Mus musculus: one gene and its partner. The protein of the gene in region 2 interacts with the protein of the main gene of each other region in a biochemical or structural test. Links are inferred from orthologs where the notes say so. Each region holds a gene or a part of one and is shown on either strand. Other genes may lie near its edges. The genes, in order: Dvl1 and Fzd7.

Region 1 (3,801 bases), on a different chromosome or scaffold from region 2:
GACTCTGTGCCTGTCTCATTGTCCATTCCGTCCCGGCTACTGGCAACATTTGGACTGCATAGATAAGAAGCAGGTGGAATTGGGCAGACCAGGTTGCCGACAGCCATTACCTCAAATGATTCCAGGTCCCCAAACCCCCAGGCAGGACCCTAGTTCTAGAAGGTGCCTCCCACACAACTGTAGGCCCCTGCTATGTTGTCAGCTTCACTCTTCCCAGGTGGGTCTTGGGTAGCAAGTATCTAGCAATGGCAGAGCTCTGCCCCCGCAAGGGGCCTTACTGGAAGGAGGGGGGCCTGGAGTCCCCAATGCCGCCTGTCCTCTCAAGGGGTGGGGGCAGGTCCGTGTGGCTGTCAGTGCCCTGGGACCCTGCATCCGAGTGAGCGCCCTCAGCCAGGACCAGCTGTGAAGGAAGAGTGAGGCCTTGGATGGCCATCTGCGTCAAGACCACCCCCACAGGCACCCCACTGCTGCCTACCTTTGTCCAGTTACTTTACGTCTCCCAGGGAGAGCCCACCTTCACCATTCTGCTGGGGCCACCCATAGACTCACCCAGGAAACCACCCGGCCATTGAAGCAGGGCAACTTGGCATTGTCATCGAAGATCTCCTCCTTCACCACCCTGTGGTCAAACAAAGCCCTATGTCACCTCACCTGGATCCATGAAGGACATTAAGAGACACTTTCTACTCTTGGACGTAGCAATGGAGCACCTGCTAGGCTGCAGATGTCACCACTGAGGTTTTACCTACCACATTCTCTTCTTAGGGACTCTGCTGCTCTCCGCCAATCCCAAAGCCCTGACCCTTAGCACTGGGGTAGAGAAATGTAGATAAATGTTCATGGAAGGACATCCTAGAACTCTTGTTCACGTCCAGAGTCAGCCTCCAGCCCTTGGTGAGTCAGACAAGGTTGAGGGTTCCTGGGAAAGTCCCCAGTTCTTCGGCTTCCTTGGCCCTGGGGTTTATATCAGGCCTGTCTCTAGCTTTGTATGCTTCCTCATGGGGACCCAAAAGCTCCCTCACCACAATATACGACACTTGGGGCTCCTTTGGGAACTCTTCTCAGCCTTCAAATTTTAGGGAGAGCAGCTCTACCTAGCCAGGTGCTTGGGACAGCCTATGGCTCTTCTCTGCCCCTCACCCCAAATCCCACCATGTACCACAAAAGCTCCAATTCCAACTCGTTCCAGAAGGGAGCCTGGCCTCCTAGGCCTGCATTCAGATTGGGCTGCAGAGGAACCGCATTTTGTGCACTCTGCTTCCATCAGGCCCACTGCCTCCTGTCCTTGTCTTCCCAGCACACACCCTGGGCCTCTCTGGAGCACTCACGGGCGCTCGTTAATATGATGAGCATCTCATGGTGCTCCAAGCCCTTGGGCTCCTGAAGTTCCCCCAGCCCAGAGAAGGCTGGACTTCCTGGTACAAGGACTGCCAACCCCTTCTATAGATGTGAGAGGGCCAGAAGGATACCAGCTCTTGCTGCCCTCAAAACCATCTACCCAGCCAGAAAGATAAAGTGGATCTCATGTGCAAGATCAGTCCCAACTATCAGGGAGTTTGCTTGGCTTCTATCTGAGGACCTGGAAGGGCATTTAGGGACAGAGCTAGCCAAGCCTTGGCTGTACCTATTGACCACAGCCATCTCTGTTTTGTCTTCATGCTGCTTCCCTGGTCAGATGGGCTAGAAAGGAGCTAAGCTCACCCAAGCAAGATACAAAAGGCAGGGAATGAGAACTGGGAAGGAAGCCAGAGCCTGGGGGCAGTGTTCACAAGGCACGGACAGCAGTCAGGACAGGCTTGAAGGGGCTCCTCAGGCCCTAGATTCTCCACTCCCTCACCTTCACCCTAGCTCTTAGCTCCGCCTAACATAGTGGGATTTTCCATACCTAAAACTTGAATTGAGTGGAGCTGGAAAACCAGGCTGGTCCTGGAAGTGCACCTGGCAGGAAGCAGGCTTGTGACTTAATGGGCCCAGTGCCAGGGGCAGGGCCACCTCTGCTTGCTGCTCCAGAACCAGTGGGCAACACCAGGTTGCAGGAAGCTCTAGCAGGGCAACATCCCATCCTCTCTAGGGAATAAGGCCTTTGTCCACCCACTTGCTAGAGACCTGGGGCTGAGGTAATGGCAGAGGCTGGACAGCCTGAAAGTGAAAGTGTCCCAGCCGCTTTCCTGACCTTACTGCTGTGCCCATGGGACCCCAACAGCGAACAGAATCACTTCTCAGGACTCCCTTAATATCTATTTCTCCCAATTTCAAGTTACAGCTCTGTGGCTTGCTCCATTTACAAGCCTGGCCCAAGGTAGCCAACAAGAGAGTCTGTCATCACAGGAAGACCTGACGCTGCTAAAAGCCCTGAGTAATCTACCCAGAAAAGAACCCTCACCTTATCCCCTAGCCTCGACCCCAAGTGGACTCACCAAAAGCCTTTCCCATTGGCACACCCAAGCTCCAACCCTCCCTGACTCACCCATGGGGAAACATATGAGCAATTCCTAGCACCCACAATAGGGCCTGCCTGGCTCCTCCAACAGGCACTGTGTCCCATTCCCAGCAGCCAGAGCCTACTCAGTCAGACCCTTAAGGTAATATGGCCAGCTTGCGGTCTTTGTGCCTCCCAAACCCTAGAAAGACATACCTCTATGGTTCAAAGGCCCTGCTTCTTAGCAGGGAAAGGCCCTTCCTCCCAGCCAGAGCAACACAAGTCCTGCTTTCTACCTAGGGGTCAGAGCAAGAAGACTGGCCAAAGGGAAAGGACAGTCCTGAGAGGATGGTGTTTGCCCCAGATCCTAGGGCTAACCCTGGCCCTTCCCCACCATTGGCTAGGCAAAGGGCAAACATCACAATACCCATAGTGGAAGCAGGAATGGTGGCCACAGGTATGTGATGCTACCCACAGCTGCTGGGCACTGTATAACAAGAACAGAATGAGGCACAACCAAACATCCCTACCACCCTGAGCCTTGTATGTCTATCCTCTCAAGAGGAAAGCTGACCTTAATGTGTCTCCACTGACTCTGCACGGTGACTCAGGACACTCCTGTGAGCATTTTGCCCCAACCTTAGAATTCCTGGAGAGATCCTTGTGGCCATTGGACTCTACCAGCCACCCCCAGTGATCCACCTCAAGGAGAAATCTGCTCTAAAGTAAGGCCTTTGGAGCCCTGCATAGCTTAGCCTAAAAGGACCCAGGGTTTCAGGAGATTACAGTAACACACAGACTACCTCTCTAGTGGCCCAGCCCTGAGATAGCCCCATTCCCATACACACAGAGCCAGAGACTGGCAGAGCAAGTAGGCACAGGTCATGGAGATATCTTGAGCTTCAAGGGGCTTCTGTATGCTACCAGGAGTGAGCATCCAATTCCTACCAAGCATTGTTGTGGACTGGACTCTTAGCCTAAGGAGTTTTACTACCCATGAACTTGAACTGGCAGGTGTGCACAGGCCCCAGACCATAGCTGGCCACTCTTCTACCAACTCATCCCATGGGGCATTGAGCCCCAGAACATAGAGTCCTTCCCCACAGCTCAGGGAATGCATGATAATTACCTAGACTCTCATAATAAATACTAGGGAGGCACAGAAAGGCTAAGTCACTGACCCCAGGCAGCTTGACCAGGGCACAGGGAGCCCTCAGAACATTTGCCAATGTACAGAGGACCCCAGATTCCAGGGCTCCTAGCCCTTACCCTTGCCTGCTTCCCTCTAGCTCACGTAGCTCTTTCTCAAGAGATGGGGCTGCAGCAACTGCCAGGCAATAAACTCGGTATCGCATCAGGCAGGCTGATATCAGCAGTATGTT
Region 2 (4,517 bases):
AAAGTGGAAGGAAGGGGCTCAATGAACCTCTGAGGTAAAGTAAATAAAAGAATTAAAAGGAGCCCAGGTCATCGAGAAAAGGGAATCCAATTAATTAACTGTCTTAGATTTCAGAATCAACCTTTTCCTAGATGGAGAAACTGTATACCAGAGGGAGTTACTTCTGCCGGCATTCAACATTCGACCTATTCAAAATCTCCTCAAACCCCAGCACCCAAGTGAGACAGGCAGAAGGACTCAGCCAGGAAAAAAACGTTTAAAATGATTGCAGAGACAGATTCAACGATTCAACTTGTCACTTTCCTGCATGGGAATTCATAGTATTCATGATATTTCTTGCTGGCTCCTGTGAGAGGGCAGAGGCCCCTTAGTAACTTCTGACCGGTCGGGGCAATCAGACAACGCGCACGAGCGCCCAGTGCCTGGAGCGGGGTTAAGATTTGACCAAGAACAAAAGAAAGCTTGCCAATCAGAAAATGCTACCCCACAAGGAAAATAACCCCTCTTTGTGTCTCGAAAGCCCTTTAATTAGCAAATGCCCTGCTTTCTAACGCGCGTTAAAACATTTCTATGTAGATTCCAAATGGAAAGATCAAATGGTTGCTTCTGCAACGAAGAAGGGGTCCCTGAAGGCCACACACCTCAGAAAAAAAAAAGGAAAACGGGGCAACCGAAGGCGCTCTGTAAATCGTACAGAGTTCCGAGGCCCTCGGTCTCAGGTTACTTTCATAAGCATTCCCCCAGAGCTGCCTTGGAGTTAAAAAAAAAAAAAAAAAAAAAAAAGAGCCTCTTGGGCTCCCCAGGCTCCCAGCAGTATGTCCGGGAGGGGTGGCAGGCTCGTGTGTGCAGCGGATCCCCAGCTCTGGGCCTTCTCCTCCGAGGGTCTGCACTTCCTCCCGCCACAAGTCCGCCCCTCGGCCGACTCGGGTTTCTCCCTCCAGGATGCCCCCCTTTTTTGTAACTGGGGGAGGGAGAGGGAATTGTGCCTTCACGTGGTCGGTTGGGGTAGGGGAAGAAAAAACGATTCTTAGTCGCACCCCTTTCTCGACTCATACTGATGCTAACCAAAATTCTCCCGCCCTCGCCTGCCAGGCAAGGCTAACGTGACTCCGGGTCACGTCTTTCTGCCCTGGTGCTGTACTATTCTCAGCTTCTCCCCAAAGCCTTCGGCGAATGCCCCCTTTTGTTCGGAAATGTGTATTTTAGGGTACCCGGAAGAGGAACCAATCTTACAGGCAAGTTCCCTTTCTGGTGCGTTTTTTTCTCCCTTGAGCAAATTCTGGGTAAAAGTTTTTCCTAACTTTTCTCTCAGTCCCCCGCCCCTCCCCTCAGGAATCCGCCCAGAGCTCTTTAAGCACCGCCTTCCTTGTTTCCTCGGCCGCCCCTTCCGACTTCCACCCAATCGGAACAGGTCCACAGAGAAAACAAAGCGCGCTATTGGATGTCCAGAGGGCTCGGGGCCCGCCCCCGGAGTGGTTTGTGAATGGGGGGAGGGGAGGGGGCGGGGCGGCCCGCAGCCCTGCAAGCCCGACGCTTCTTCTAGCCACCAGTGCGGCTCCCAGGCGTTACTCCGCGCTCCTTCCCTGGCGGGCGGTGCTGGACGCGGAGAGTCGCGGGCTGGGACTGCGCGGGGCAGGAGAGGCCGGGTGCAGGCAGGCCGCGGGTGCAGGGGCCTCGGCGCTTCGGATTCCGTGCAACTCCGTTTCCAAAACCAGCTTGTCCAGCTCTTACCTCCCGAGCACCGATCAGACTCAAAGCGAGAACGAGCCATTTGACTTGAAACTTGGGGCCGACCTTCCTAGGACTGAAGGAGGCTCCAGAATCAGAAGAGGCGGCTGCAGTGGCCCGCGGGGCCTCAAGGAGAGAAGGCGGAGCAGCACCACCGAGGCGACGGCCGGGGCGAGCAGGCAGGGACGCAGGGCGCTGGCCTGGCGGAGGCCTGGCTCGGTTTAGGGGACGTGCGTATCGGCGTGCGCCCGGGGCTCGAGAAACTTGGGCAAACTTTGAAGGGTAACCGGAGAAGCTTGTTGCTCGTCGCCGCAGAGAAAGCCGCACCGTTACGTCTCGGCGGGGAGGGTAAGGCGACACCCCTTCCCTCGATCCCCCACTCCAGGCCCAGGAGTTTGAACCTCCGGCGGCTGCGTGAGTGCCACGCGGAGGCGGCTGCGGCGCCCCCTCGGCTGGCGGCCTCGCCCCCGCTGTGCAGGCACCCTAGCACCCTCGGCTCCGCGCCGCCCACGGCCCGGCCCCGGCGCCGGGAGGACTCTCATGCGCCGGGCGCGGCGGCGCCTCCCTGTATCCAAGCCTCTCCCCAGCGCCTCGTCTTTTTCCTCCAGCTGAGAACGCCGCTGCACTCGCGACCGGCGATGCGGGGCCCCGGCACGGCGGCGTCGCACTCGCCCCTGGGCCTCTGCGCCCTGGTGCTTGCTCTTCTGGGCGCGCTGCCCACGGACACCCGGGCTCAGCCATATCACGGCGAGAAAGGCATCTCGGTACCGGACCACGGCTTCTGCCAGCCCATCTCCATCCCGTTGTGCACGGATATCGCCTACAACCAGACCATCCTGCCCAACCTGCTGGGCCACACGAACCAAGAGGACGCGGGCCTCGAGGTGCACCAGTTCTACCCTCTGGTAAAGGTGCAGTGTTCTCCTGAGCTACGCTTCTTCTTATGCTCTATGTACGCACCCGTGTGCACCGTGCTCGACCAAGCCATTCCTCCGTGCCGTTCCTTGTGCGAGCGCGCCCGACAGGGCTGCGAGGCGCTCATGAACAAGTTCGGCTTCCAGTGGCCAGAGCGGTTGCGCTGCGAGAACTTCCCAGTGCACGGTGCCGGCGAGATCTGCGTGGGGCAGAACACGTCCGACGGCTCCGGGGGCGCGGGCGGCAGTCCCACCGCCTACCCTACTGCTCCCTACCTGCCAGACCCACCTTTCACTGCGATGTCCCCCTCAGATGGCAGAGGCCGCTTGTCTTTCCCCTTCTCGTGTCCGCGCCAGCTCAAGGTGCCCCCCTACCTGGGCTACCGCTTCCTAGGTGAGCGTGACTGCGGTGCCCCGTGTGAGCCGGGCCGTGCTAACGGCCTCATGTACTTTAAAGAAGAGGAGAGACGGTTCGCCCGCCTCTGGGTGGGTGTGTGGTCAGTGCTGTGCTGCGCCTCGACGCTCTTCACGGTGCTCACCTACCTAGTGGACATGCGTCGCTTCAGCTATCCAGAGCGACCCATCATCTTCCTGTCGGGTTGCTACTTCATGGTGGCAGTGGCGCACGTGGCAGGCTTCCTGCTAGAGGACCGTGCCGTGTGCGTGGAGCGCTTCTCGGACGATGGCTACCGCACGGTGGCGCAGGGCACCAAGAAGGAGGGCTGCACCATCCTCTTCATGGTGCTTTACTTCTTCGGTATGGCCAGCTCCATCTGGTGGGTCATTCTGTCCCTCACTTGGTTCCTGGCAGCTGGCATGAAGTGGGGCCACGAGGCCATCGAGGCCAACTCGCAGTACTTTCATCTGGCCGCGTGGGCTGTGCCAGCGGTCAAGACAATCACCATTTTGGCCATGGGCCAGGTGGATGGTGACCTACTCAGTGGAGTGTGCTACGTGGGCCTGTCTAGTGTGGATGCATTGCGGGGCTTCGTGCTGGCGCCCTTGTTCGTCTACCTCTTCATCGGGACGTCCTTCCTGTTGGCCGGCTTTGTGTCTCTCTTTCGCATCCGCACCATCATGAAGCACGACGGCACCAAGACAGAGAAGCTGGAGAAGCTGATGGTGCGCATCGGCGTCTTCAGCGTGCTCTACACGGTGCCGGCCACCATCGTGTTGGCCTGCTACTTTTATGAGCAGGCCTTCCGAGAGCACTGGGAACGCACCTGGCTCCTGCAGACTTGCAAGAGCTACGCTGTGCCCTGCCCTCCGGGCCACTTCTCTCCCATGAGCCCCGACTTTACAGTCTTCATGATCAAGTACCTGATGACCATGATCGTGGGCATCACTACGGGCTTCTGGATCTGGTCGGGCAAGACCCTGCAGTCATGGCGTCGCTTCTACCACAGACTCAGCCACAGCAGCAAGGGGGAAACTGCGGTATGAGCCCCGGTCCTTACCCACCCTTGCCTCTTCTACCCTTTTACAGGAGGAGAGGCATGGTAGGGAGAGAACTGCTGGGTGGGGGCTTGTTTCCGTAAGCTACCTGCCCCCTCCACTGAGCTTTAACCTGGAAGTGAGAAGTTATTTGGAGGTGAGAAGAGATTTGGGGCGAGAGATGGTTTTGAGAGGAGGCCCAGATGAAAAAAGGCAAAGGCAGTGGCCGAAAAGACTTCTGGCTAAGACTTGCAGGACGATGCTAACTGTGAAAGATATGGACCGGCTAGGGCCTAAGGGAAAGGTTGAGACCAGCAGAGAGAGAGACTGGTGAGGTTTTCAGGCGCCAGAGATGAGCCAGGGCTGTGAGTCCAATCCCCTGCTGCAAGGCAAGTGGTTGTTCTCACTCTAGTGAAGGGGGGCTGGGAGGGGAGGGTGATA

The links.
Region 1: the proteins of Fzd7 (region 2) and Dvl1 form a complex in vitro, tested with the Homo sapiens proteins (2 studies listed by BioGRID and IntAct, with this or other methods). The link is inferred for Mus musculus from reciprocal best matches to the Homo sapiens genes FZD7 and DVL1.

What each region holds. Positions count from the first base shown.
Region 1 is NC_000070.6:155,850,236-155,854,036, reverse strand, and holds part of Dvl1 (segment polarity protein dishevelled homolog DVL-1), read right to left. Parts: intron 620-3,801; coding exon 550-619; intron 401-549; coding exon 279-400; intron 55-278; coding exon 1-54. UniProt on the Homo sapiens protein: Participates in Wnt signaling by binding to the cytoplasmic C-terminus of frizzled family members and transducing the Wnt signal to down-stream effectors. Plays a role both in canonical and non-canonical Wnt signaling.
Region 2 is NC_000067.6:59,480,594-59,485,110, forward strand, and holds the start of Fzd7 (frizzled-7 precursor), read left to right. Parts: upstream 1-1,553; 5' UTR 1,554-2,366; coding exon 2,367-4,085; 3' UTR 4,086-4,517. UniProt on the Homo sapiens protein: Receptor for Wnt proteins.